Anolis sagrei: one gene and its partners. The protein of the gene in region 2 purifies or fractionates together with the protein of the main gene of each other region. This does not show direct contact. Links are inferred from orthologs where the notes say so. Each region holds a gene or a part of one and is shown on either strand. Other genes may lie near its edges. The genes, in order: SMARCA4, CTNNB1, YAP1 and PTPRU.

The links.
Region 1: the proteins of CTNNB1 (region 2) and SMARCA4 purify together in Homo sapiens (affinity purification with western blotting; 3 studies listed by BioGRID and IntAct, with this or other methods). This does not show direct contact. The link is inferred for Anolis sagrei from reciprocal best matches to the Homo sapiens genes CTNNB1 and SMARCA4.
Region 3: the proteins of CTNNB1 (region 2) and YAP1 purify together in Homo sapiens (co-immunoprecipitation; 11 studies listed by BioGRID and IntAct, with this or other methods). This does not show direct contact. The link is inferred for Anolis sagrei from reciprocal best matches to the Homo sapiens genes CTNNB1 and YAP1.
Region 4: the proteins of CTNNB1 (region 2) and PTPRU purify together in Homo sapiens (affinity purification with western blotting; 3 studies listed by BioGRID). This does not show direct contact. The link is inferred for Anolis sagrei from reciprocal best matches to the Homo sapiens genes CTNNB1 and PTPRU.

The regions. Positions count from the first base shown.
Region 1 is NC_090022.1:171,359,611-171,367,196, reverse strand, and holds the start of SMARCA4 (transcription activator BRG1), read right to left. Parts: upstream 3,016-7,586; 5' UTR 2,774-3,015; intron 2,723-2,773; exon of another isoform or gene 2,563-2,722; intron 1-2,562. UniProt on the Homo sapiens protein: ATPase involved in transcriptional activation and repression of select genes by chromatin remodeling (alteration of DNA-nucleosome topology).
Region 2 is NC_090026.1:76,601,300-76,608,566, forward strand, and holds the start of CTNNB1 (catenin beta-1), read right to left. Parts: upstream 3,012-7,267; 5' UTR 2,898-3,011; intron 1-2,897. UniProt on the Homo sapiens protein: Key downstream component of the canonical Wnt signaling pathway.
Region 3 is NC_090023.1:23,007,526-23,015,523, reverse strand, and holds the start of YAP1 (transcriptional coactivator YAP1), read right to left. Parts: upstream 3,005-7,998; 5' UTR 2,324-3,004; coding exon 2,045-2,323; intron 1-2,044. Other genes in the region: CFAP300 (cilia- and flagella-associated protein 300), read right to left, coding at 6,546-6,677. UniProt on the Homo sapiens protein: Transcriptional regulator with dual roles as a coactivator and corepressor. Critical downstream regulatory target in the Hippo signaling pathway, crucial for organ size control and tumor suppression by restricting proliferation and promoting apoptosis.
Region 4 is NC_090034.1:64,386,793-64,394,270, forward strand, and holds the start of PTPRU (receptor-type tyrosine-protein phosphatase U), read right to left. Parts: upstream 3,001-7,478; 5' UTR 2,671-3,000; coding exon 2,568-2,670; intron 1-2,567.

The DNA of each region.
Region 1 (7,586 bases), on a different chromosome or scaffold from region 2:
CAAACTTGGCACACTGTTCTTCCATGACTAACAGAAAATACTGGAAGGGTTTGGAAAGCAGTGTCCTTTGGTTTTGGAGTTGTAGTTCACTACATCCAGTGATCACTGTGGATTCAAACAATGATGGATCTGGATGAGTGATTGATTATCGGAACACGGAATAATGGATAACGAGTTTGGATTCTGATTTCATTGATGAGACCTGATGGATTTGTTATATTTGTTGTATTGATGTACTGATGTATTGGTGCTGATGTTTAATGATTTCTGATGCTATTGCTTTTAAATGCCCAATGATTTTGTATTGTGTATACTGAAACTGTTGTTAAGCGCTCTGAGTCGCCTAAGGGCTGAGAAGAGCGGTATACAAATAAAGTATTCAATTCAATCTGGACCAAACTCTACATGAATACTCAATATGCCCAAATGTGAACACTGGTGGAGGTAGGGGAAAATAGAATCTTGACATTTGGGAGTTGTAGTTGCTGGGATTTATAGTTCACCTACAATCACAGAGCATTCTGAACCCCACCAACGATGGAATTGAACCAAACTTGGCACACAGTTCTCCCATGACCAACAGAAAATACTGGAAAGGTTTGGTGGGCAGCGTCCTTTGGTTTTGGAGTTGTAGTTCACCTACATCCAGAGGTCACTGTGGACTCAAACAATGATGGAACTGGACCAAACTCTACATGAAGATGACAGGGCCAATTGGATTTGATGCGGATGGTTAGGACGGTTTTAAATTGTGTTATTTTAAATGGTGTATTTTAATATTTAGATAAATGTTTTTAATGTTTATGTATTGTACCCAGGCATTGAATGTTTGCCATGTATATGTTGTGCTCCGCTCTGAGTCCCCTTCGGGGCGAGAAGGGCAGAATATAAATGTTTTAAATAAATAATAAATGAATACTCAGTATGCCCAAATGTGAACACTGGTGGAGTTTGGGGAAAATAGAATCTTGACATTTGGGAGCTGTAGATGCTGGGATTTATAGTTCACCTACAATCAAAGAGCATTCTGAACTCCACCAACAATAGAATTGGGCCACAGAACCCTGATGTGGGCCACAGCAACGCATGGCAGGGGATGGCTAGTTATTATTATATTTTTAATCATAGTGTTGTCAAAATATGTCAATGTTCACATTCGGAATATTATATTTTCTTTTTTAAAAATCCAAATAATAATGATGTTGATGATGGATGAGTATATATTTCAGAGGCTCAAATCTATATAAATAAAAATGTAATGTTCGTTTGTGGTATCCACAGAACACAAAAACCACTGGGGCAATTGGCACCAAATTTGGACACAATACACCTAACAACCCAATGTATGTTCTCCACTCAAAAAAATTTATTTTGTCATTTGGGAGTTGTAGTTGCTGGGATTTGTAGTTCACCTACAATCAAAGGGCATTCTGAACACCATCGATGATGGAATTGAACCAAACTTGGCACACAGTTCTCCCATGACCAACAGAAAATACTGGAAGAATTTGACGGCCATTGACCTTCAGTTTTGGCTTTGTAGTTCACCTACATCCAGAGAGCACTCAAGCAATGATGGATCTGGACCAAACTCTACACGAATACTCCATATACCCAAATGTGAACACTGGTGGAGTTTGGGGAAAATAGAATCTTGACATTTGGGAGTTGTAGTTGCTGGGATTTATAGTTCACCTACAATCGCAGAGCATTCTGAACCCCACCAACAATGGAATTGAACCAAACTTGGCACACAGTTCTCCCATGACCAACAGAAAACGCTGGAAGAGTTTGATGGCCATTGACCTTCAGTTTTGGCTTTGTAGTTCACCTACATCCAGAGAGCACTCAAGCAATGATGGATCTGGACCAAACTTGGCACAGATACTCAATATGCCCAAATGTGAACACTGGTGGAGTTTGGGGAAAATAGAATCTTGACATTCGGGAGTTGTAGTTGCTGGGATTTATAGTTCACCTACAATCGCAGAGCATTCTGAACCCCACCAACAATGGAATTGAACCAAACTTGGCACACAGTTCTCCCATGACCAACAGAAAACGCTGGAAGAGTTTGATGGCCATTGACCTTCAGTTTTGGCTTTGTAGTTCACCTACATCCAGAGAGCACTCAAGCAATAATGGATCTGGACCAAACTTGGCACAGATACTCAATATGCCCAAATGGGAACACTGGTGGAGTTTGGGGAAAATAGAATCTTGACATTTGGGAGTTGTAGTTGCTGGGATTTATAGTTCACCTACAATCGCAGAGCATTCTGAACCCCACCAACGATAGAATTGGGCCACAGAACCCTGATGTGGGCCACAGCAACGCGTGGCAGGGGACGGCTAGTTATTATTATATTTTTAATCATAGTGTTGTCAAAATATGTCAATGTTCACATTCACAATATTATAATAATAATGATGTTGATGATGGATGAGTTGATTATATATTTCAGAGGCTGAAATAAGAGCAATAAAAAGGGGAGAAAAGAGGAGGGGGAGGATGGGAATAGGAAGACACGGGTACAGGCATTCACACGTTCACCCTCTTACCATCCAAGGTGAGATTCCGGCTAAGGATGCTCTGCTTCCTTCCAATTCTCCCCGCCCCCTCCTCCTCCTCCTCTTCAGGTGGGATGCTCCCACCCGCGATGCCCTCTCCCAGGTCCGTCCACACGGGCTTGCACTCATTCATTCAGCGAGCCATCCCCGCGCATGCGCAATCCACCCTCCCCATCCCCTCCCGCGGCGCCCTTTCGCTTACCGGGCGGCCCAGGAGTTCCAGCGCGGGCGGGGACGGCGAACAAAGAAGAAGGTGACTGCCTGCGTCTCTCAAAGAGATGCTCTCTCCTCCTCCTCCTCCCCCGCCCTTCGCCTGCGCGCCTCCTGCTGGGCTCGCGTGGGCGCGCTCCCCACAGGCTTTCTTTCTTCCTTTCTTTCTTTTGCGCGTTCCTTAACCGGCTCAACGAGGCTCCCTCTCGACGCACCAATCAGAGCGGATTTCACAACCCTCACTCAGGGTGTTACGCCCGCCTCCTTCGCTTAGACTCAGACTCCGAGCGCCAGCCAATCAGAAAAGATGGGCGGGAAGTCTAGAGAATGAGGCTTTCTCTTAACAGCCAATAGCGACACGCTTTACATTTCTACACCGGCCTTTGCTATTTCTCTGCCCATAAGTGACGCGGCCTGTTATGCTTCTTTGAATGCAAATATGTCTCTCCTCCTCTTTTGTCTCTGCCTCAGCCAATGACGTAGAGAAAGGGGCGGGCTTCCCAGTCGTACGGGGGCGCGCCTCGCGAGGCAAAGGAGCGCGCTTTGGCAGCGCGAGGGCTGTGCCCATCCCCCCAACCAGCCGGCCGCGGCGTCGGTGCGCATGCGCATTGCGGCCACCACTGCGGCTGAGGAGAATATTGGGGGAAGGGGGATTTGCGAGGCAGGCAACGAGCTCTGAAGGGAGGATTTTACCTCTCTATTGAAACATTCACACCCAGCTCCAGCAGAGAAGAGCTCTTTGCCCCACCACAGTCATTCCACAGATATATAAACCCATTTTCCTAGAAAGAAAATGTTTCAAAAAGTGTTCTGAAATTAGATTAAAGGACAATGGTGACACCAAAGTAAATCCCTTTAAAAGACATTAGGAAGAATCATAGAATCAAAGAGTTGGAAGAGACCTCATGGGCCATCCAGTCCAACCCCCTGCCAAGAAGCAGGAACATCGCATTCAAATAACCCCCGACAGATGGCCATCCAGCCTCTGTTTAAAAAGAAGGGTTGACTCTTGTACTTCGTCCCACCCTGGTCTTTCTGGAGATATATAAACCCTTTTTCCTAGTTCCAACAGACCTCACTACCTCTGAGGATGCTTGCCATAGATGCAGGCGAAATGTCAGGAGAGAATGCCTCTAGAACATGGCCATATAGCCCGAAAAAACCTACAACAACCCAGTGATTCCAGCCATGAAAGCCTTTGACAAGACATTGACACCTCTCTGTGTTCATGTTTTGTTTAAACAGCCCGAAAAACCTACAACAACCCATGTTTTTATTTCTTGGCAAAATAAGAATTAGGCCCATCTCAAAACGTGCAGAAATGGGAATCCTTTCCGTGAAACCAGACTGCTCAGGAAAGGAACATTTTAGGGGCCTCTCTGAGGCGATGTGCACATTTTTGAGAGGTTTATTTTTCCCTCAGGGAAATGACTTAGAGAAGACAATGATTCTGGGGGAAATGGAAGGAAAAAGGAAGAGGGGCCGACCAAGGGCAAGATGGAAGGATGGCATCCTTGAAGTGACTGGCTTGACCTTGAAGGAGCTGGGGGTGGTGACGGCCGACAGGGAGCTCTGGCATGGGCTGGTCCATGAGGTCACGAAGAGTCGGAAGCGACTGAACGAATGAACAACAACAAGGAAATGACATATCATATATCATATAACAGAAATATCACACAGGAAGGCACAAAACTGAGGAAAAGATGCAGCCACTCAAGGACGAGGCCCACCAAAGTTACCTTGACTGTATTTTAATGTGTATGATCAGGGGCGTCTCAACCCATTACGCAAAGTAAGCATTTGCAGTATAGTTGATTTTGCCCAGGGGCACTCTTGAAGCACTCTTGGGGAAAAACAGACCTTGACATATGCGAGTTGTAGTTACTGGGATGTATAGTTCACCTACAATCAAAGAGCATTCTGAACTCCACCAATGATGGAATTGAACCAATTATGGCACACAGAAGTCCCACGATGAACAGAAAATATATATCAGTGATTGGTTGGGGGGGGGGGATACTGTTTGCTTACCATTGAAAAGTACCTAGGGCCGCCTCTGTGTATGATCCACCAAGAAAATCCAAAAAATGCTACGTTCAGCAAAGGACAAGAGGGATCATACAAATATACATCAAGGGAACCACTGACCGCATAGGGAAGCTGATGAGGAAACACAACATACAAAGTATCTACAAACCCACCAAGAAAATCCAACAAATGCTACGTTCAGCAAAGGACAAGAGGGATCCTCTCACTTCTGCAGGAGTCTACCGGGTACCATGCAGCTGTGTACAAGTCTACATAGGGACCTTACTTCACTTTCACTTAGGCGATCCCTCGCTTTCCGAGGATGATTGTCTTCCAATATTCTTGTGGGTCCGTATGTGGCTGTGGAGCCCTATTCTTGCTCTGCATCTTCTTCTTCTTCATTGGTTTCCAGGTAGAAGGCGGTCTCGGCCGGGGTTGGCTTGACGCGCCTTCCTCTTGGCACGTTTCTCTTTTTCACCCTCCACTCGTGCCTCCTCAAATTCTGCAGCACTGCTGGTCACAGCTGACCTCCAGCTGGAGTGGTCAAGGGCCAGGGCTTCCCAGTTCTCAGTGTCTATGCCAGAGATTTTAAGGTTGGCTTTGAGCCCATCTTTAAATCTCTTTTCCTGCCCACCCACATTCCGTTTTCCGTTCTTGAGTTCGGAGTAGAGCAACTGCTTTGGGAGACGGTGGTCAGGCATCCGGACAACATGGCCGGTCCAGCGGAGCTGATGGTGGAGGACCATCGCTTCAATGCTGGTGGTCTTTGCTTCTTCCAGCACGCTGACATTTGTCAGCTTGTCTTCCCAAGAGATTTGCAGGATTTTTCGGAGGCAGCGCTGATGGAATCGTTCCAGGAGTTGCATGTGACGTCTGTAGACAGTCCACGTCTCACAGGCATAGAGCAGGGTTGGGAGGACAATAGCTTTATAAACAATCACCTTGGTATCCCTACGGATGTCCCGGTCCTCGAACACTCTCTGCTTCATTCGGAAAAATGCTGCGCTTGCAGAGCTCAGGCGACGTATTTCGGTGTCGATGTTGACTTTGGTGGAGAGGTGGCTGCCAAGGTAGCGGAAATGATCAACATTTTCTAGTGTTACACCATTAAGCTGTATCACTGGCATTGGAGAGGGGTTGGCTGGTGCCTGCTGGAAAAGCACCTTGGTTTTTTCAATGTTCAATGACAAGCCGAGCTTCTCGTATGCTTCTGCAAAGGTGTTTAGAGTGGCTTGTAGATCTTATTCTGAATGCGCACAGACGACGTTGTCATCAGCATACTGGAGTTCTATAAGAGATGTTGTTGTGACCTTGGTTTTGGCTTTCAGTCTGCTGAGGTTGAATAGCTTGCCATCTGTCCGATAGATGATTTCCACTCCAATGGGAAGCTTCCCGTCAACAAGGTGAAGTATCATAGTGATGAAGATGGAGAATAGAGTTGGGGCAATAACACATCCCTGTTTGACACCCGATTCCACCTTAAATGGGTCACTTTGGGAGCCACTGCTGTCCAAAACTGTTGCCATCATGTCATCATGGAGGAGCCGCAGGATGTTCACAAATTTGTTTGGGCACCCGATTTTTTGGAGGATGGTCCAGAGAGCGCTGCGATTCACTGTGTCGAATGCCTTTGCAAGGTCGATGAATGCCATGTACAGAGGTTGATTTTGTTCTCTGCATTTGGGACCACCAAATGCAGCATTGCCCAAACACGAATCAAGGAACAGGAAAGGCACTGCAGACTACTTCAACCAGAGAAATCAGCCACCTGATGAACCAACCTGGACACAGCATATTATCTGAGAACACAGAAATACTGGACCACTCCAACAACCACAATGTCAGACTACACAGAGAAGCCATTGAAATACACAAGCATGTGGACAATTTCAACAGAAAGGAAGAAACCATGAAAATGAACAAAATCTGCCTACCAGTATTAAAAACTCTAAAATTACAACAGCACAACAACAGAGAGTAAACAATCAGGAAACAAGCAGGCATATCTAATCACCTCTCAACAAAAGTTTGCTCCAGGCACAGTCAGCCCATTGTATGCTAATCAAGGTGGTCAGTTGAAACATTCACACCTTGGTTGTGTATTGTTATGTTGTGTTTTGAGAGCTTGTCCTTTATAAGCCGCATCGAGTCCTTCGGGAGATGCTAGCGGGGTACAAATAAAGTTAATAATAATAATAATAGCTCCAGCAGGAAAGAGTCCTTTGTCTCACCCTGGTCATTCCACAGATATATAAACCCTTTTTCCTAGTTCCAACAAACCTCACTACCTCTGAGGATGCTTGCCATAGATGCAGGCGAAACGTCAGGAGAGAATGCCTCTAGACCATGGCCATACAGCCCGGAAAAATACCTACAACAACCCTTTGTTTTATCCATCTTTTCACTGTACTGGCAGTCCCGGAGTTATGGGGGGCTCCAATTCAGACTCCACATCAGGCTCCAATTCAGGAGCACAAGGCCCCACTTCCAAAGGATCCCCCTCCTCCTCAGACCAGGCCTCAACACGCCCTGAGTTATACGAGCCACGCAGTCTACCCGTCCATCGCTCACACCACCACTCCACACTGGATCTGCAGCTCATAGTGTGAAGGACCTCCATGTCTCCATGTTTTTCTTTCAGAACTGAACGAGTGTTGCATAGCTTTCAATGCAAATAAGTTTTTATTTTGTTTTCAAAAAAATCAGAAAACATTAACTCAAACTATTAAAAAGGGGAGAAAAAAAAACATCACAGAACCTACAGCTGAGGGGGGAAA
Region 2 (7,267 bases):
AATGTGTCATGTTATTTTTCCGTGGTAGTACTGCTAATTTGAAGTACTCAGTGATGATTATTTCACTGAAGATTATGGATTAAACAACTATTCATTTTTGTTGTTGATATAATCTGTGGATTTATGAAGGAGATCTATATATCTATACAGGAAGGAGTCAACTATCAAGTTAGATAAATTTATCTTATAAACATGCTGTATTATGAGGGGAGCATTTCTAGGTACAGTGAAAGACAGGCATAAAATACTTTAGCAAACGTGTTACATAGTTTTCTGCTGAGAACTGCACTATTTTAGCAGCTTCCAAAATTGCTACTTAAACTGCAGGAACAAGGCAACGCCCTCAAGTTAGGTTAGGCATTCAGGTCAGGAATGCAAACATTTCCAACTTTGATTGGGCATAGTGGAATATTTAAAATTATGCTTGAAGTTTTATTGAAATACCTAGGCTTGTACTGTTACTCCAAGATATCAGGAAATACCATTAGAAAACACTTATTGATAAATCACAACTTCATCTAGATTTGTTTTTACATTCCCATTGACACACATGTCTTGAGCTCTTTTTAAAGGCAGTACTAAATTATTACAGCTTCTTTATACACCTGAAAGACAGAAAGCACAATTCTGTGGATTTAATGTATTTAGGTAACAGCTTTTCATAAGTCATAGCAGTACTCTCAGGACCCTTCCACACAAGCCCTTTATCCCAGAATCTGATCCAAGGGGCCTTCCACACAGCCATATAACCCAGAATATAAAAGAATAACCCACAATATTTGCTTTGAACTGGGTTATCTGAGTCCACACTGCCACATATTCTAGTTCAAAGAAGGTATTCTGGGTTACATGGCTGTACGGAAGGGCCCCAAGATTATCCCAGGTTATCTGGCAGTAGGGGCTCATATATTCCATGTTTCAAGCAGATAATGTGGAATCAGATCCTGGGATGAATGGCAGTGTGGAAGGGCTCTCAAAGTAATATGCAGATACACCCCTCCCTCTAAATATGGGGGAGGGGATAAATCAACTTTCATAGCTAATGCAATTTCAAATTAAATGGCAGGACCAACAGTCCCAAAATATCTTCCAGGTGAGATGTCTAAACAAGCCTTGGGATACTTTCCCCTGCTGGAGACAACAAATGAAATAGTACATTTCCCTGGAATGGGAATGGCTTCCCAAGTGCCCTTCCACACAGCAATATAACCCAGAATATCATCCTAGAATATCTGCTTTGAACTAGATTGTCCGAGTCTACAATGCCACATATTCCAGTTCAAAACAAAATAAATGTGGGATTGTATTCAGCTGCGTGGAAGGCATCCCACACTCTCCCCCTCTGGCTGTTAGAAATTGTGGGAATTTAAGTCCAAAACACCTGGAGGGACAAAGTTTGCCCATGCCTGATCTACACTTTCAAACTGAGCTACAAAACACCGTGATCTTAGTCGGATCCTGTACGGAAGCCTGCCCTACATCTACTATCTACACTTTCAAACTGAGCTACAAAAGGTTCTTGTGGGTTTTTTTGGGGCTATATGGCCATGTTCTAGAGGCATTTTCTCCTGACGTTTCACATGCATACGTCAGGAGAAAATGCCTCTAGAACATGGCCATATAGCCCCAAAAAACCCACAAGAACCTAGTGATTCCAGCCATGAAAGCCTTCGACAATACATTGAGCTACAAAACATTGTGTGCTTAGTCGTATCCTGTACGGAAGCCATCGAAGCCTGCCCTACATCTACACTTTTTAAGTGAGCTACAAAACACGGTGTGTTTAGTCGGATCCTGTACGGAAGCCATCGAAGCCTGCCGTACATCTACCATCTACACTTTTAAACTGAGCTACAAAACATAGTGTGCTTAATCGGATCCTGCACAGAAGCCATCGAAACCTGCCCTACATCTACACTTTTAAACTGAGCTACAAAACATGGTGTGCTTAGTCGGATCCTGCACAGAAGCCGTGCAAGCCTGCATAGTACACTTTCAGGGCTCCAGCAACCAAGAGCGCCCCTCCCGCAAAGTATGCAACCTGAACCAAAGCCAAAAGAAGAGGAACTTCATTGCACACAATGCAAACAAACCCGAGACGATTTCCCATCCCCTCCCCCCGCCCCTCGCTGGAGGTTTGGAGGCGACACCCCGCCAGGAAGTCGGGACGGAAGGGCTCCCAAATCCCATGTCGTGCAAGGCGCCCGCTCGCGAGGCATTGCGGTTTGAGGAGATCTTTTGCAGGGATCCCCACCTCCAGGATCCGCGTGAGGAAGGAGAGAGTTGGGGCGGATCGCTGCCTGGAAACCTCCCTTCGCCTCAACACCGTAGAAAGTACAACACGCAGGCCGAGAAAGCCTCCCCACCGCAGGACAACAAACAAGGCACGGAGCGGCCCTTGTGCAAGGCGATCCCACTGCGAGAACTTGCATCGCGGGCACACAAGGGGCGAGAGGAGGGGGTAGCTCCGTCCCACCCACTCACTCACTCACCCACCCCCCAAAATGGGAGCAAACACGCCGGGACCTCCCCCTCTCGGACCCAACTCTCCCCCTTTCCTGCCTCAACCGCTCCCTCCCTCCTTCTCTCCCTCCCCAAGTTCTGCCCCACTCACTTTGCCATTTCTCCCCGCCTCACACTTATCTCCCCCTCCCTCCAAAACACACCAAAATCCACTCACTTCCTGTAGGGAACACACCGCTGCCTTATTATTGCTCCCTCCGCCAACCTCAAGGAGGAAAAGTAGTGCGACCAAGCCCAAGTTTCTCTGAGGAATGAGGGGAAGCGCGAAGGGGGAGAGAGGAAGCCCCCGAAAGGAAAGAAGCTGCAGCAAACCGCGAACCCTTTATCCCTCGCGTCAGGCGACGGAAACCCCCTTTCTTTCCCCCGCTTCTCACCTCGCCCGGAACGGTCCTTTTCCCCCCGTCGCCGTCGCTCCCACCGAACCAAGAGAGAGAGAGGCTTAAAATGGCGCCGCTCACCAGGAGCCTCTTATAGTGAGGGTGTAGACTTCTCTGTGTATCCTGCCGCCGACGAGCCCCGAGCGCGCGCGCGCAGCATTCCACAAGGTAGAGAAAATAGTCCCCGCTCCGCCCAATCAGCGGCCTGCTTCGTGCTCGCGCACACATACACACACAGAGGCGCGCGCGCCCTCTCTCTCTCTCTCTCTCTAGGAAGCAACTAAACGCGGAGGGAGATAAAGTGAGGGGAAAAGAAGAGCTTCAGTGTGTATCGAGAAGGAAAGGGATTGTGGGAGCGCGCGGGAGGGTGCAGGGATTCGCCTCCGAGTGTAATGAGGCGCGGAGGGGGCTACTTTTGGGAACTGAGAGAGAGAGAGACACCTTTTTCTACGCGAGGAATGAGGCGGCTTCCCGCAACCTGAGGGGAGAGAGGCGCGAGCGCGGGCTGCAGAGCCTGGCTTCTCTCTCTCTCTTTCCCCCCTCCTCCTTTTTTAAAGCTACAGGCACCCCTTTGCATCCTAGTATGGTTTTTATACCAGAAGACTTGTATTTCTTTTATTATTATTTATTTACAGTATTTGTATACCGCTTTTCTCACCCCGAGGGGGACTCAAAGCGGTTTACACATAAGTAATGGCAAAATTCAATGCCACTACAAACAATTAAAATTATACACTACAATTGAAGGAGCTGGGGGTGGTGACGGCCGACAGGGAGCTCTGGCGTGGGCTGGTCCATGAGGTCACGAAGAGTCAGAAACGACTGAACGAATGAACAACAAACAATTAGACATAAATCAAGTTAAAAACAGTGCATCCACAAGTAATAAAACAATCGTTAAAACAATAAAACAGTTTCGTCAGTCAAATCGCCATTCCAGTCATTGTCTTTCTGAAATGCTGCATACATTTCCTTCTACTGCCCAAAGGCCTGGTCCCAATACCATGATTTTAATTTTTTTCTAAAAGCCAGGAGGGAGGGAGCAGATCTTACCTCATTTGGGAGTGTGTTCCATAGGCAGGAAGCCACAGCTGAGAAGGCCCTGTCTCTCGTCCTCGCCAGACGCCTCTGTGCTGTTGACAGGAGCGAGAGCAGGGCCTCCTATGCGGTGGGATGTAGGGGTGGATGCGTTCGGACAAATAAGCTGGGCCAGAACCGTATAGAGCAGTGGTTCTCAACCTGGGGTCCCCAGATGTTTTTGGCCTACAACTCCCAGAAATCCTAACAGCTGGTAAACTAACTGGGATTTCTGGGAGTTGTAGGCCAAAAACATCTGGGGACCCCAGGTTGAGAACCACTGGTATAGAGCTTTATAGGTCAAAACCAGCACTTGTAGTCCCCAATCATGTCGTTTCAGGGAAACCCAGCAAATACTTGGGATGTTATGTCTCCCTCAGGATCCGCGAAGAGGAAACAAAAACGAAGGAATTCAAAAGTTTGTCTTACCTCCTGACTTTTCCAAGCCTTTTTAGTGTTGCTTGTGTGACTGTGGAGTGGAACAGACAACTCCACATCTGTATGTTTGTCCACTGTGCCCTGTCTCATGTACAGAGGAGGAATTGTTGGAGGCTATAGACAATGCCATTGCTGTTGCCCGTTTTGAATCAAAAGATATTTAGCCGCCTGTGAGCCTTCTATTTTTATCAGTTTTATACTAATTCATGCAATGCTTTTGCTACAAAATAAAATAAAAATGTTGCTAGATATGAATATTGTTTGCCACTCCTTTCAAACTCCAGAAGACTTCCATCCTCATGCCTCTCTCAAGGATCATCCAGTTTGAATTGGGAAAGCACAACTGGCCATCACCCAGCCTCTGTTTCGAAGCCTCCAAAGAAGGCGCTTCTTCCCTATCCTTTCAACAAGGCAAGTTGCTGTGTTTACATTAGTGCGTTCTCTTCATAGAAGGCCTTGAAAGGAGCAGAAGGGCTTCAAAAGTCAAAATAAACAGAAAAAGGTGTGGGAAACTTCCTAACAAAAGTCCCCCACATGTTTCCAAACTTCACTCCAGGCTGGAACGGGAAAGTCAACAAGAGAAGTGGATGGGAAGTGTTTCCACATGAGAGAGCCTGCCATTTTGAGGCCTGGAAGGAAAAGATGAAGGGAAGTATATCTACAACAGACATGGGTAAACTTGGGCCCTCCAAGTGTTTTGGATTTCAGCTCCCACCATTCCTAACAGCCTCAGGCCCCTTCCTTTCCCCCCTCAGCCGCTTAAGGGCCCAAGTTTGCCCTTGCCTGATCAACTGTAGGATTAATGCATCTTGGCCGATAAGTTGCTGAGCCAAATTCATCTAAAGCCCTAAACAATTCGGGCCCCACCTATCTCCCTCTATGAACCGACATCTCCCTCTATGAACTGGCACAGACACTAAGATCCACCAGGAAGGCCCTCCTCTCGCTCCCACCACTGTCTCAAGCCTGGCTGGTGCTGACAAGAGAGAGGGCCTTCTTGGTAGTGGCCCCCCAACGCACTCCCCAAGGAGATAAGGCTGGCCCCATCCCTCACCTCCTTCCGTAACATCTTGAAGACCTGGTGGTTTCATCAGGCCTTCGATAAGAACTAGTTTCAAGCCCTTGGTCCAACAGTTAGGAGTTGGCCTTGTACTCCATTCATTCCCCAGTTCCAGGTCATCTGAGGGCACCTTTTCTTCTGGCCTAGACCTTTTTTTATAGTCCTTTAATTGACCCTAGAATTGAGTGGCCCCTAGTAGGGTAATTGCTGAGACTGATCCTTGTACTATAGTATTCTGCTACAATAGAGGAGCTTTTTTGTTGAGTTCCAGGGCCAAAGAACTGCCTGTCTCAGGGGAGCGTGTTTGCTCTATCAATGTTCAACATTTACACAAATGACCAGCCATTGCTAGAAGGGACAGAGTTTCATCTATGCTGATGATCATGCCATTACTGCTCAAGCAGGGAGCTTTGAGATGGTTGAACAGAAGCTCTCCAAAGCTCTAGGAGGGGGCTGAGGATCTACCCTAGCAAACCTTTTGTATCATTATCCCAATATCCCCATGCATATGGGATATATTGAGCATGGTGATCAGGTCAGATTAATGGAACATCTCAGCAAGAGAGAGTCCAAAAGTGGCAGGCTCAAACCGCATATCGCATTATCACGGGGTGTCTGTGCCCTAAACCACTGGAGAAATTACACTTTAGTCAGTATTGCACCACCTGACATCTGCTGGGGTGTAGTAACCAATAGTGAAAGGACCAAGGCAGTGACATCTCCAGCCCACCCCGTTTGGGTATCAGCTAGCACGTCAATGCTTTAAATCAAGAAATAGTTTTCTGAGATCTACAGAGACACTCGCTGGGACATCTCAGCAAGCGAGAGTCCAAAAGTGGCAGGCTAAAACCCAGAACCTCAATCAATGGCTGATACCGGATGAGAGACTCCCTCCTGGGCACACAGAAAACTGGGTGATTTGGAAGGTGCTCTGGCACCACGAAATGCAGAGCCAACCTTAAGAAATGGGGCTACAAAGTGGAATCCACGACATGCGAGTGTGGAGAAGAGCAAACCACAGACCACTTACTACAATGCAACCTGAGCCCTGCCACATGCACAATGGAGGACCTTCTTGCAGCAACACCAGAGGCACTCCAAGTGGCCAGATACTGGTCAAAGGACATTTAATAGAATACCAAATCTGCAAACTTTGTGGTTTGTTTGTTTTTAATGCAATACAACTGTTTTGGTTCGCTCTTGACACGATTAAAAAATGCATTGGCTCAATCCCAGAGTCAATTTGGCGCTTTGTTTACAGCCTTAGCCCCGCCCCCTTGTAAGTGGGCGGGGCTAAGGGCAGGGAGGCCACGTGAGGGACGCTCGGACCCGCGCGCCGCCCTTTCATCCTGGTCTTTGGTGGGGGATTCAGAGAGAGAAAGAGCTCTCTGATGCCTTAAGATAGCTCTCGCTTGATTGATCCCTAATGCCATTAATCCTATGCAAACTGCTGGAGGGGAGGAGTAGGAAGCTTACTTGGAGGGGATACAACCCAAAAGAGGAGGGGGGGGGGGAGTCAGAGTTTCCTTCTGCAGCCCAGATGCAATCCACATCCTGACGCAGGAGCCAGACCCTCTCTCTCTCTATAGCAATCTCATCGGGACTCACGTCTAAATCAGGCTACACAGAAAACGGTTTGTGTTGTGCAACTTAGATTTGTAGTTGTCTGGCGTGGGCGGGTCCCTTAAGTCTTTTGTGGGCGCTGAATGTATCATCTAATTCTAACCCATTTTATTCTCTGTCCCAAGGCAGCAAAAATGCAAGATACTCCACTTTGGCAGAAAAAATGAAA
Region 3 (7,998 bases), on a different chromosome or scaffold from region 2:
CTTTCTCCCACAAGGCTTCTCTTATGCTAGGCCTCCCTTGGAAGGCCCAAGTTTGCCCATACCTAATAAAGACCTTGTAGTGTTACACACAACAGCCTTCGCAGTGGGACTTTCTCACACAGGGCTTCTCATACCAGGCCTTCCTCATAGTGAAACCTCTCTCACACAGAGGCATTTTTACTCTTCCCAGAAAAGGAGGGCGCCTGAGGCTGTTAGGAATAGTAGGAGTTGAAGCCCAAAACACCTGGAGGGAGGGCCCAAGTTGGCCCATACCGGCTAAAAACCTTGTATCTTTACACACAGCAGCCTTCACACTGGAGGTTTCTCACACAAGGCTTCTCCCACACCAGGCCTTCCTCATAGTGAAACTTCTCTCACACTGAGGCATTTTTTCTCTTTGCAGAAAAGGAAGAGGCCTGAGGCTGTTAGGAATGGTGAGAGTTGGAAGTCCAAAACACCTGGAGGAAGGGCCCAAGTTTGCCCATACCTGCTAAAGACCTTGTAGCTTTACACACAGCAGCATTCACACAAGCTTCTCTCATACCAGGCCTTCCTCATAGTGAAACTTCTCTCACACTGAGGCATTTTTCTCTTTGCAGAAATGGAAGAGGCCTGAGGCTGTTAGGAATGGTGAGAGTTGGAAGTCCAAAACACCTGGAGGAAAGGCCCAAGTTTGTCCATATCTGCTAAAGACCTTGCAGCTTTACACAAAAGAGCCCTCATACTGGAACTTTCTCCCACAAGGCTTCTCTCATACCAGGCCTTCTCATACCAGGCCTTCCTTGGAAGGGCCCAAGTTTGCCCATACCTGCTAAAGACCTTGTAGCTTTACACACAACAGCCTTCACAGTGGGGCTTTCTCACACAGGGCTTCTCTCACACCAGGCCTACCTCATAGTGAAACTTCTCTCACACAGAGGCATTTTTACTCTTTTCAGAAAAGGAAGGGGCCTGAGGCTGTTAGGAATGGTGAGAGTTGGAAGTCCAAAACACCTGGAGGGAGGGCCCAATTTGTCCATACCTGCTAAAAACCTTGTAGCTTTACACACAGCAGCCTTCACACTGGAGGTTTCTCACACAAGACTTCTCTCACACTAGGCCTTCCTCATAGTAAAACTTCTCTCACACTGAGGCATTTTTACTCTTCCCAGAAAAGGAGGGCACCTGAGGCTGTTAGGAATAGTAGGAGTTGAAGCCCAAAACACCTGGAGGGAGGGCCCAAGTTTGTCCATATCTGCTAAAGACTTTGCAGTTTTACACAAAACAGCCCTTACACTGGAGCTTTCTCCCACAAGGCTTCTCTTTTAATAGGCTTTCTCATACCAGGCCTTCCTCAGGAGGGCCCAAGTTTGCCCATACCTGCTAAAGACCTTCTAGTGTTACACATAACAGCCTTCACAGTGGGGCTTTCTCACACAAGGCTTCTCTCACACCAGACCATCCTCACAGTGAAACTTCTCTCACACTGAGGCATTTTTACTCTTCCCAGAAAAGGAGGGCGCCTGAGGCTGTAGGAGTCGAAGCTCAAAACACCTGGCCCAAGTTTGCCTATACCTGCTAAGGACCTTGTAGCTTTACACACAGCAGCCTTCACACTGGAGGTTTCTCACACAGGGCTTCTCTCACACCAGGCCATCCTCATAGTGAAACTTTGAGGCTGTTAGGAATAGTAGGAGTTGAAGCCCAAAACACCTGGAGGGAGGGCCCAAGTTGGCCCATACCTGCTAAAGACCTTGTAGCGTTACACACAACAGCCTTCACAGTGGAGCTTTCTCACACAGGGCTTCTCTCACACCAGGCCTTCCTCATAGTGAAACTTCTCTCACACAGAGGCATTTTTACTCTTCCCAGAAAAGGAAGGGGCCTGAGGCTGTTAGGAATAGTAGGAGTTGAAGCCCAAAGCACCTGGAGGGAGGGCCCAAGTTGGCCCATGCCTGTTCTACATGTAGATGCACCCCAGGAGGTTAGAGTAGGGATTGCCAAACTCCAGCTCAGCAGGTACTTGCAATGCCCAGTGTCCAGGGCGCCCCTTCCTCCCGCTCACCTGTCTGGAGTGGGCCTTGGGCTCTGGCGGCTTGAAGAAGGAGTCCGGCAGCTTCCGGAGCCTCATGGGCAGCGTGTGGGGCACGTTGGCGCCCTTGGGGTTCATGACGGCGTTGAAGAGGGCCTCCAGGTCGGTCTCCGAGTCTCCCCGGACGTGGACGATCTGGTGTCCGGCCGGAGGCGGCGGCGGGGGCGGAGGCGGCTGTTGCTGCTGCCCGGAGCCGCCGCTCTCCGGGGCCGAGGCTTGCGGAGGGGTCTGCCCCGCTGCGGAGGCCTCCATGGCGGGCGACGGGGCTCCTCCTCCTCCTCTCCCCCTCCTCGGCTGCTTCTCTCAAGCCTCCGCTCCCGGCTGGCCGTCTTTCATCCCCCGAAACCTTCGCTTGCTTCTTTTTTCTCCTTCAGCCGAGCTCAAAACAAAACTTCGCAAACTAGCCCGCCCGCGCCGAACTCCGCCTCTAATGCGACTCAATGTAGCCCGGCCGCAGAAACTGAAGATTTTTTTTCTCCCTCTTCTCGCGCCCGGCCGCGCGGAAATCCTTTCAGAGCAATTTTTCCTCCAAGCCGCCTGTCAATCAATCGCAATCACTGCAATCTTCCTTTCCTCCTTCACTAATCCGTCCCAACTCCGATATAAGTTGGTTACTTCTCAATTATCTCTTTGACTGACTCCTAAAGAAAAGTTCGCAAAGGCGCCCGCCCGAGTCAATTCTGTAGGAATCAGTTCTTGATTCTTTTTTTTCCTTCCTTCGCACGCAAAATTTTTTCAACTCTCCCGACAATTTTCTCCTCTAATCCGTCCCAGCTTTGAGGAAAAAAAAGAAAATAGATGTATAGATCTATCTATAATGCCTCGACGTCCCTGTTTGTCGTTGATCAGGAGCTCAAACGCTGCCAAACAAAAGTTCCCAAAGTCGCCCGCCCGAGCCAGCTCCGCCCCGCGAGGGCCCGCCCGCGCCGAATTTCGACGGGGCTTAATGCAGCCCAGCCAGAGTTAAAGGAGGCTCTGTTTCAATTCTCCTTTCACGCGCCCGCCCACTCTGATTTTTTTAAAAGCAATTTTGCACTGATTTAAAGACTTCAATGTGTTGGGATTCCCTCACGTTTACTTTCGTGGCTCTTTTTTTCCTCTTTTCCAGCTGAGACAATTGTTGTGTTTTTATTTTTAGTCGTTTTTCAAGCAAACCCGCCCGAGTCGTTTTCTTGGCCTCCACTAGTGTCCAGGAACCGTGTATTTTATACTTCTACCCACCCTCCTCATCCTGTCTCCCCCTCCAAAAAAAAAAAAGTTTTCCAACCCTCCCACGGAGACGAAAAGGAGGGGAAAGTGGGAGTATTTCGCCTCCCACACACACACACACACACCATTAAAAAGAGGAGAAAGGGAGGGGGAAAGGAAACAAGACCCCAACCCACCAGGCTTCAAAGCCCCCATGGAAGAGGAGGAGGGAAGGGAAGGGGAGGGAAAGGACACCTCTGCAATCATTGCCAGGACTTTGTGTTCTGTGGTTGCTTTGCAGCAAGGCTTCTCTAGCAAGCTTGGTGGAGAATCAACCCTTGCTTACCCTACCTCTTTATTCCCCCCAAAATAAATCACAGCCTGCAATCTTAACTATTGTCTGCTCAAAAGTAAACCTTAATAAACTCAATGTCAAACTCTGGCATAGACACTGAGAACTGGAAAGCCCTGGGCCTTGAGCGCTCCAGCTGGAGGTCAGCTGTGACCACCAGTGTTGTAGAATTTGAAGAAGCAGGAATGGAGAGCAAAAGAAAGAAACATGCCAAGAGGAAGGTGCATGAAGCCAACCCCGACCGGGACCGCCTTCCACCTGGAAACCGATGCCCTCACTGCGGGAGAACATGCAGATCAATAATAGGGCTCCACAGTCACCTACGTACCAACTGCCAGTAAACCAACCTTACTCCGACAACGAGGGATTATTATTATTATTATTAAACTTTATTTGTTCCCCGCTAGCATCTCCCGAAGGACTCATTGCGGCTTACAAAGGCCAAGGCCTCAACACAACAACAGCAAACAATAACAATACGATGCAAAGCAAATTAAAAACATAAGCAATAAGAAAACATTACACTATTACGCAATAAAAACCAGGGCTGGGCCAGTGATGGGTACAGGTTAAAAAGTGCTGGCTGTGAGAGGTAGTATGTTGGGATTCTGGGCAAGTGCAATGTGCAGAGAGTCTTAAACTCTAATAAAGTGCTTCTGGGACATAGTGGGGGTTATCCTATTCCGGAAAAGCACATCTGAATAGCCAGGTCTTCAAGTTTTTCCTAAAGACTGCCAACGTGGGTGCTAGTCTAATGTCTTTGGGGAGGGTGTTCCAGAGTTGGGGGGCAACCACAGAGAAGGCCCTGTCCCTCGTCCCCACCAAACGTGCCTGCGACGCAGGTGGGATCGCGAGCAGGGCCCCTCCGGATGAACGAAGGGAGCGCGTGGGTTCATAAACGGAGATGCGGTCACGCAGGTAGGCAGGTCCCAAACCGTTTAGGGCTTTGTAGGTAAGCACCTGCACCTTGAATTAGATCACCTAAGTAAGCAGCTAAGATGAAGGTGGCATGCTTTCAGGGTGAAGAATTGTCACAACCTGACACCACTTTGAACTGCCATGGCACAATGCAATGGAATCCAAGGATTTGCAGTCTGGTGAGGCACCAGCAGCTTCTCGCACAGAAAGCTAAAGACCAGGCCTGGGAAAACTTGGGCCCTCCCTCCAGGTGTTTTGGACTTTAACTCCCACCATTCCCAGCAGCCATTCTCTCACGCCAGAAGCGACTTGCAGTTTCTCAAGTCGCGCCTGACACGAGAAAAAAAGCAGCCTCAAGCCCTTTATTTATTTACGATATTTCTATCCCGCCTTTCTTGAACTTGAAGGTGACCCAAGATGGCTTTACAACATAGGCAGCTATTAGATGCCGTTAAAACAATGTAAAAATTACAATATTTTTTTTGATTTATAAAATGCATACATTAAAACCTTTAAAAACATATAAAACCTCGTCGTCCAAAAACATTGTCTAAGCTGTTTCAGTATTTGATTTCACATACTTCCGTGTTTATTTATTGTACTAGATTCCCAAAGGCTTGTTCAAATAGCCATGTTTTCACTGGTCTGTGGAAAGTCAGGAGGAAAGGGGTTCATTTAATATCCCTAGAGAGGGAGTTCCACAGTTGAGGGGCCACCACTGAGAAGGCCCTGTCTCTCGGCCCCGCCAGTTGCATCTGCAAAGAAGGCAGGATCAAGAGCAGGGCCTCCCCAGATGATCTTAAACTCCTAGATGGTTCATAGGGAGAGATAAATTCGGACATGTAAGTTGGGCCAGAACCATTTAGGGTTTTATAGTCTAAAGCCAGCACTTTGGATTGTGCTCGGTAGCAAACTGGCAGCAAGTGTCAGGTAGGCCTCAGAGTTAGTAGGCCTCAGTGTGTGAGAGGCCTGGTGTGAGGACAGCCTGGTGAGAGAAGCCCCAGGTTTATTTATTTATTTACTTACAACATTTCTATCCTGCCTTTCTCACCCTGGAGGGGACTCAAGTCGGCTTTACAAAAAGGCAACAATTTGATGCCTTAAAACACAATGTACAGTTAAATAAATATTAAAATATAATTTTAAAGTACATTAAAACAATTAAAACATTTAAAAACAATCAGGTTGAAGACTTTGTGTAAGAAGCTCCAGTGTGAAGGCTACTGTGTGTAAAAAGGCAACTGTGTAAAAAAGGCAACTCTGTACATAGGGAAAGGGAAGGGACCTGAGGCTGTTAGGAATGGTGGGAGTTGAAGTCCAAAACACCTGGAAGGAGGGCCCAAGTTTGCCCATGCCTCCCCATGACCTTGTAAAAATGATAACTCCCATCATTCCATACCATGGAGCCATGGGAGTTGAAGTAGTACCAAACTGCATCACTTCTACAGTGTAAAACAAACAAAATGTTTTACAAAATGTTGGGGTTCACTTTCTCTTTTTTTAAAAATTCCCTCATTAATTATAAAATTATTGCTGCTTTAGGACCACATAAGCAATCTGAACTGAGAACTGTTTCTTGACCCATCAATCATCAACAACAGACTCATCAATCAAATTCCAAACCAATAGTTATATGTTTTCATAGTTTAAAATTGCTATTTCATACTCAAAATGTATGTACACAACATTTAAAAAGTTTTTATTTATGGTTAAGAAAACACAAATGTAAATGTTATTATGATAGTTTCAAATAAGAGTCTTTGTAGGCAGGATATAATTCAGCAACAGCAAAACTTTTCAAATAGTACATTGCACAAGTATTGATATGGGTATTAAGTCTGTAACATTAATAATACAAAATATGTGTTTGAAACCATACTGAGTACCTTAGATTTCTGGGAAGGGGAAAACGTGTGTAGATAACATAGATCTCTTTGAAAAGAACAGAATCCTGACAAATCTATATCTAAGGAGAATTCATCTATTCATCAAATAAACTTGAGGAATCAAACCCAGTCAATTACAGAACAAAGCTCCGCCGTAAGAATGATACAAAACATAAATGTGCCGTTTCAAAGGATTCACGATCAAATAGGCAAAATTCTGCTCATGTCTGTTCGATGATGGATAACAAAGGCCATGAGCATCCTGGAAGAAAAAGTATATAGCATTAATATAATGTAATAATGGATAGTACTCATTTGTGAAAGAGTTCTAGAGCCTGGTTTAAATTGAGTTAAGCACTCTTGTCCTGCTTTTGAACCCCATTTTTGGACAAAAGGTAGGATATAATCTGCCCTGAGTCCCCTTGGGGAGATAGAGCGGAAAACAAATTATTATTATTATTATTATTATTATTATTATTATTATTATTATAAATAAAATGCTTGATTTTTATGTGTAACACTAAACCACTCCCTCTTGATGTGACCCAAATATGAGGAGATGACTGAAATAAGCTGCTTGTTTTCCTAATTAATTGTGATTTTTGTTTATGTCCAAAGCAAGGCAAACTGTGGTTATTGTTAAATATACAGGTTATGTATCTCTTATTTGAAAGAATTAGAAGCATTTCATTTCGGATTTCTTTTGGATTTTGAAATGCCTATATTTGTATATATGTACATTATGTGGTATCTTGATGTTGGAATTCAAATCCAAACAAGAAACCAATGTATGCTTTATATACATCTCATTATACACGTAGTCTGAAGCTAACCTTTTTAATAATTTTGTGCATGAAATATTTTTAATAATTTTGTGCATGAAACAAACCTGGTGTACATTAAACCTTGAGGAAACCAAAGGTGACACTATCTCTGTCATACAAAGGATGGTTTTGGAGTATTTAGAATTTCTGGATAAACTCTTAGAACCAAAGAACTAAAACACAACTAGAAATTAGTCCAGTGGTTCTCAACCTGTGGGTCCCCAGATGTTTTGGCCTTCAACTCCCAGAAATCCTAACAGTTGGTAAACTGGCTGGGATTTCTGAAAGTTGTAGAACAAAACACCTCGGGACCCACAGATTGAGAACCACTGATCTAATCCAACCCGGTCATGTACCATCTTCAGTGTCAGGCACCTGGTTCAGCATCTGCTTAAGTATCTCCAAGTCAAGAAAAGTCTGCAAGCTAGCATGGTGTAGTGTTAAGCATTGGTGCTGAATTGAGAGACCAGGATTTGAATCTACACTTGACCATGGAAACCCACTTGGTGACCCTGGGCAAGTCATGCTAGCTTCAGAGGAAAGCAAAGGCATGTCCCCTCTGAACAAATCCTGCCAAAAAAACTAAATGACAGAGTCATCATGCACTGGAAAGCTTGAAGACATACAACAACAACAACAACAACGGAAAGGCCTCTACCTCCCAAGGCAGGCTGTTTCACTATTACATTGCTCATATAATTAGGACATTTATCTTCAGGTTTAGCTGTAGTTTCCACTTATTGTTCCAAGTATTTCCTG
Region 4 (7,478 bases), on a different chromosome or scaffold from region 2:
TTCAAATGTGGGTGTATTGGGTATTTGTGCCGAATTTGGTCCAGTGTATGAAAATACATCCTGCATATCAGATATTTACATTACTATTCATAACAGCAGCAAAACGACAGTTATGAAGCAGCAAGGGAACAAATTTTATGGTTGGGGGTCACCACAACATGAGAATGAAGGGGTCGTGGCATTAGGAAGGTTGAGAAGCACTGAACTAGATGAAACTGAATCCAGACAAGACAGAGGTACTCCTGGTCAGTCGTAAGGCCGAACAGGTTATAGGGTTACAGCCGGTGTTGGACGGGGTTACACTCCCCCTGAAGACGCAGGTTCGCAGCTTGGGTGTGATCCTGGATTCATCGCTGAGCCTGGAGCCCCAGGTTTCAGCGGTGACCAGGGGAGCATTTGCACAATTAAAACTTGTGCGCCAGCTGCGCCCGTACCTTGGGAAGTCTGACTTGGCCACGGTAGTCCACGCACTGGTTACATCCCGTATAGACTACTGCAACGCTCTCTACGTGGGGTTGCCTTTGAAGACTGCTCGGAAGCTTCAGATGGTCCAGCACGCAGCAGCCAGGTTGCTAACGGGAGCGGCATTCAGGGAGCACACCACTCCTCTGTTGCGCCAGCTCCACTGGCTGCCAATTTGCTACCGGGCACATTTCAAAGTGCTGGCTTTAGCCTTTAAAGCCCTAAACGGTTCTGGCCCGACCTATCTGTCCGAACGCATCACCCCCTATGAACCAGTTAGGACATTAAGATCGTCCGGGGAGGCCCTGCTCTCGATCCCGCCAGCCTCGCAGGCATGACTGATGGAGACAAGAGACAGGGCCTTCTCAATGGTGGCCCCTCGGCTGTGGAACGCCCTTCCCGCAGACATTAGATCGGCCCCCTCCCTGCTGGCGTTCAGGAGAAGAGTGAAGACCTGGCTCTTTGAACAGGCGTTTAATTAAGCAGTGCAATCAATTGATTGAGATTGGAACTTGGAATAATGGACGAGGAGATTGGATTATGACTTTATTGATGAGACGTGATGGATTAGTTATATGGATGTATTGTTGTTATATTGATGTACTGATGTATTGTTATGTGATTTAGTTGCTCTAGTTCAGTGGTTCTCAACCTTGCTGATGCCGTGACCCCTTTATGCCGTTCCATATGTTGTGGTGACCCCCAACCATAATATTGTTTTTGTTGCTACTTGATACCTGTCATTTTTCTACTGTTATAAATTGTAATGTAAATATCCGATATGCAGGATGCATTTTCATTCACTGGACTAAAGTGAGCACAAATACGCAATATGCCCAAATGTGAGTGCTAGTGGGGTTGAGGGGAGGATTGATTTTGTCATTTGGGAGTTGTAGTTGCTGGGATTTATAGTTCACCTATAATCAAAGAGCATTCTGAACGCCACCAGCAATGGATTTAAACCGAACTTGGCACACAGAACTCCCATGACCAACAGGAAACACTGGAAGGGTTTTGTGAGCATTGACCTTGAGTTTGGGAGTTGTAGTTCACCTATGCCCAGAGGAGTGCTGTGGGTTCATGCAATGATGGATCTGGACCAAACTTGGCACGAATACTCAGTATGCCCAAATGTGAACACTGGTGGAGTTTGGGAAAAATAGACCTTGACAACAAGCCCTATGAGGAGCGGCTTAGTGAACTGGGCATGTTTAGCCTGAAGAAGAGAAGGCTGAGAGGAGATATGATAGCCATGTATAAATATGTGAGAGGAAGCCACAGGGAGGAGGGAGCAAGCTTGTTTTCTGCTTCCTTGGAGACTAGGACGCGGAACTATGGCTTCAAACTACAAGAGAGGAGATTCCATCTGAACATGAGGAAGAACTTCCTGACTGTGAGAGCCGTTCAGCAGTGGAACTCTCTGCCCCGGAGTGTGGTGGAGGCTCCTTCTTTGGAAGCTTTTAAGCAGAGGCTGGATGGCCATCTGTCAGGGGTGATTTGAATGCAATACTCCTGCTTCTTGGCAGGGGGTTGGACTGGATGGCCCATGAGGTCTCTTCCAACTCTTTGATTCTATGATTCTATGACATATGGGAGTTGTAGTTGTTGGGATTTATAGTTCACCTACAATCAAAGAGCATTCTGAACTCGACCAACAATAGAATTGAGTCAAACTTCCCACAGAATCCCAATGACCAACAGAAAATACTATGTTTTCTGATGTTCTTTGGCGACCCCTTTGACACCCCCTCACGACCCCCTCAAGGGTTGAGAAACACTGCTCTAGTTACTGTTTTGAAATGCTAATGCTAATGTTGTGCACCTTTGTATATTGCCCTGGTTGTAAACCGCACTGAGTCGCCTACGGGCTGAGAGAGTGCGGTATACAAATAAAGTAAATACATAAATAAATAAAATGTGGCAGTGTGGACTCAGATAACCCAGCTCCAAGCAGATCTTGTGGGTGGCCAAACAGGTACTGAGGGGGCCCCGAGAGACCGGGAGGAATGGGGAAGGTAGGGAAGGGGAGGGAAGGTGGGCCCCTTCCCCAAAGGGCGCCGAAAGGGCAGGGGCAGAGGGAGGGGGAGGGGGGGGAAGGGACTGACCTGCTCCTCCTCCTCCTCCTCCTCCCGCGGGCGCCTCGGTCTCGGCGGAGCAGAGCTGGAGGGCGAGCGCGAGGAGCACGGCGCGGGCGGCGTTGCCCTGCATGCCGAGCCGCCAAGAAAAGTTCTCCTCCTCCTCCTTCCCGACTTCTCCTTCCGCAATCTTCTCCGCTTGCAGGCCTTTCCCACAAAGTTGCCCCAAGGCCAAACTGAAAGGGATTGGATGGCAGTGTGGACTCTGATAATGATCCGCCTTGATCTCCTGTGTGGCGCGGGGTCTCCGAGATTGCGGACTCCGAGTTGTGCCTTTCCTTCCGGGCGGAGAAGCCGGAGCCGAGCCTTTCCTCCGCAGGCACGCACCAAACCAACCCAAAAAAACAGCCAACCCCCCGCGGCGAAGTGACGTCAGGCTTCCCAGGCGAAGCGAAGGGGGCGGGGCGGGGGCCCGTGGGGTTGGATTTGGATTTGGGGAGGGGGCTGGGAAAGGAGCGGGCGCCCCCTGCTGGCCCAGCGAGGAGCAGGACAGCCCCAGGACTCACAATCAGAGGCGGCCCTAGGTAATTGTCAACGGTTCAAGATTGGGAAAGGCGTACGGCAAGGCTGCATCCTCTCACCCAACCTTTTCAACTTGTATGCAGAACACATCATGCGATGTGCGGGGCTGGATGAATGCAAAGCTGGGGTGAAAATTGCTGGAAGAAACATTAACAACCTCAGATATGCAGATGACACCACTCTGATGGCCGAAAGCGAGGAGGAGCTGAGGAGCCTTCTAATCAAGGTGAAAGAAGAAAGCGCAAAAGCTGGGTTGCAGCTAAACGTCAAAAAAACCAAGATTATAGCAACAAGAATGATTGACAACTGGAAAATAGAGGGAGAAACCGTGGAGGCTGTGACAGACTTTGTATTTCTAGGTGCAAAGATGACTGCAGATGCAGACTGTGGCCAGGAAATCAGAAGACGCTTCCTTCTTGGGAGGAGAGCAATGTCCAGTCTCGATAAAATAGTGAAGAGTAGAGACATCAGACTGGCAACAAAGATCCGCCTAGTCAAAGCCATGGTATTCCCTGTACTCACCTACGGATGTGAGAGCTGGACCTTAGGGAAGGCTGAGCGAAGGAAGATCGATGCTTTTGAGCTGTGGTGCTGGAGGAAAGATCTGAGAGTGCCTTGGACTGCGAGAAGATCCAACCAGTCCATCCTCCAGGAAATAAAGCCCGGCTGCTCACTGGAGGGAAGGATACTAGAGACAAAGTTGAAGTACTTTGGCCACATCATGAGGAGACAGCAAAGCCTAGAGAAGACAATTATGCTGGGGAAAGTGGAAGGCAAAAGGAAGAGGGGCCGACCAAGGGCAAGATGGATGGATGGCATCCTTGAAGTGACTGAACTGACCTTGAAGGAGCTGGGGGTGGTGACGGCTGACAGGGAGCTCTGGAGTGGGCTGGTCCATGAGGTCACGAAGAGTCAGAGATGACTGAACGAATGAACAACAAAAAGCAAAAAGCATTTTGGCGCCCCCCCCCCCCCAACCAATCATCTATATATATATATATAAATGGTCTGTGCATAATGAGTGCCCTGGTTTAGAAAAGGAAGAGGAACGAGAGACCAGATTGCCAATCATAGAATCATAGAATCAAAGAGGTGGAAGAGACCTCTTATTTATTTATTTTATTTTATTTATTATTTATTTATTTACTGTACAGCCTAGCTGGCGACTCAACGCAGTTTACAACAAAATACACAATCCACAATATACAATTTAAAACCATAAAAAACATAATACACAATGTTGACACATAAATCACTATTCAATGCATCTCTTAACTAAAATCGTGGTCCAGTTTCGTCATCCATATTACCAATCCTTAATCATCCCATTCATTGCACCGAATTAACCAAATGCTTGCTCGAACATCCAGGTTTTTAATCTTCTTCGGAATACCATCAGCGAGGGGGCTGATCTTGGGTCATCCAGTCCAACCCCCTGCCAAGAAGCAGGAACATTGCATTCAAATCACCCCTGACAAATGGCCATCCAGCCTCTGCTTAAAAGCTTCCAAAGAAGGAGCCTCCACCACACTCTGGGGCAGAGAGTTCCACTGCTGAACGGCTCTCACAGTCAGGAAGTTCTTCCTAATGTTCAGATGGAATCTCCTTTCTTGTAGTTTGAAGCCATTGTTCCGCGTCCTAGTCTCCAAGGAAGCAGAAAACAAGCTTGCTCCCTCCTCCCTGTGGCTTCCTCTCACATATTTATACATGGCTATCATATCTCCTCTCAGCCTTCTCTTCTTCAGGCTAAACATGCCCAGTTCCCTGAGCCGCTCCTCATAGGGCTTGTTCTCCAGACCCTTGATCATTTTAGTCGCCCTCCTCTGGACACATTCCAGCTTGTCAATATCTCTCTTGAACTGTGGTGCCCAGAATTGGACACAATATTCCAGGTGTGGTCTAACCAAAGCAGAACAGAGGGGTAGCATTACTTCCTTAGATCTAGACACTATGCTCCTATTGATGCAGGCCAAAATCCCATTGGCTTTTTTTGCCGCCACATCACATTGTTGGCTCATGTTTAACTTGTTGTCCACGAGGACTCCAAGAACTTTTTCACACGTACTGCTCTCAAGCCAGGCCTCCCCCATTCTGTATCTTTGCATTTCATTTTTTCTGCCAAAGTGGAGTATCTTGCATTTGTCACTGTTGAACTTCATTTTGTTAGTTTTGGCCCATCTCTCTAATCTGTCCAGATCGTTTTGAATTCTGCTCCTGTCCTCTGGACTATTGGCTATCCCTCCCAATTTGGTGTCATCTGCAAACTTGATGATCATGCCTTCTAGCCCTTCATCTAAGTCATTAATAAAGATGTTGAACAGGACCGGGCCCAGGACAGAACTCTGCGGCACTCCGCTCGTCACTTCTTTCCAGGATGAAGAGGAAGCATTAGTGAGCACTCTCTGTGTTCGTCCACTTAACCAATTACAGATCCACCTCACCGTAGTTTTGCCTAGCCCACATTGGACTAGTTTCCTTGCCAGAAGGTCATGGGGGACCTTGTCGAAGGCCTTACTGAAATCCAGGTACGCTACATCCACAGCATTCCCCGCATCTACCCAGCTTGTAGCTCTATCGAAGAAAGAGATCAGATTAGTCTGGCATGACTTGTTTTTGATAAATCCATGTTGACTATTAGCGATGACTGCATTTGTTTCTAAGTGTTTGCAGACCGCTTTCTTAACAATCTTTTCCAGAATCTTGCCCAGTATCGACATGAGGCTGACCGGATGGTAGTTGTTTCTGCTGGATAATGGAGAAAGGCAGGGAGTTTCAAAAAAACATCTACTTCTGCTTCATTGACTATTCTAAAGCCTTTGACTGTGTGGATCATAATAAATTGTGGCAAGTTTTTGGTGGGATGGGCATACCAAGCCACCTTGTCTCTCTCCTGAGGAATCTGTACAAGGACCAAGGAGCAACAGTCAGAACTGACCACGGAACAACAGACTGGTTCAAGATTGGGAAAGGCGTACGGCAAGGCTGAATAATCTCACCCAACCTTATTAACTTGTATGCAGAACACATCATGCGATGTGTGGGGCTTGATGAATGCAAAGCTGGGGTGAAAATTGCTGGAAGAAACATTAACAACCTCAGATATGCAGATGACACCACTCTGATGGCCGAAAGCGAGGAGGAACCGAGGAGCCTTCTAATCAAGGTGAAAGAAGAAAGCGCAAAAGCTGGGTTGCAGCTAAACATCAAAAAACCAAAATTATGGCAACAAGAATGATTGACAACTGGAAAATAGAGGGAGAAAATGTGGAGGCCGTGACAGACTTTGTATTTCTAGGTGCAAAGATTACTGCAGATGCAGACTGTGGCCAGGAAATCAGAAGACACTTCCTTCTTGGGAGGAGAGCAATGTCCAATCTCGATAAAATAGTAAAGAGTAGAGACATCAGACTGGCAACAAAGATCCGCCTAGTCAAAGCCATGGTCTTCCCTGTAGTAACCTACGGATGTGAGAGCTGGACCTTAGGGAAGGCCGAGCGAAGGAAGATCGATGCTTTTGAGCTGTGGTGTTGGAGGAAAGTTCTGAGAGTGCCTTGGACTGCGAGAAGATCCAACCAGTCCATCCTCCAGGAAATAAAGCCCGGCTGCTCACTGGAGGGAAGGATACTAGAGACAAAGTTGAAGTACTTTGGCCACATCATGAGGAGACAGCAAAGCCTAGAGAAGACAATTATGCTGGGGAAAGTGGAAGGTAAAAGGAAGAGGGGCTGACCAAGGGCAAGATGGATGGATGGCATCCTTGAAGTGACTGGACTGACCTTGAAGGAGCTGGGGGTGGTGACGGCCGACAGGGAGCTATGGCGTGGGCTGGTCCATGAGGTCACGAAGAGTCGGAGACGACTGAACGAATGAACAACAACAAGCAAAAAGTATTTTGGCGCCCCCCCCCAACCAATCATCTATCTATCTATATATATAAATGGTCTGTGCATAATGAGTACCTTAAAAACAAAAGAACCAATAAACAGAATCACACTAAATTTGGCAACAAAACGTCTCACAACACAAGGAGTGACCATCACTCAACAAATTATGATTTTGTCATTCGGGAGTTGCAGTTGCTGGGATTTATAGTTCACCTACAATCAAAGAGCACTCTGAACTCCATCAACGATGGAATTGAACCAAACTTGGCACACAGAACTCACATGACCAACAGAAAATACTGGAAGGGTTTGGTGGACATTGACCTTGAGTTTGCGAGTTGTAGTTCACCTACATCCAGAGAGCACTGTGGACTCAAACAATGATGGATCTGGACCAAACTTGCCACGAATACTCCATATGCCCAAATATAAACACAGATGGGGTTTGGGGAAACTATAGCTTGACATTTGGGGG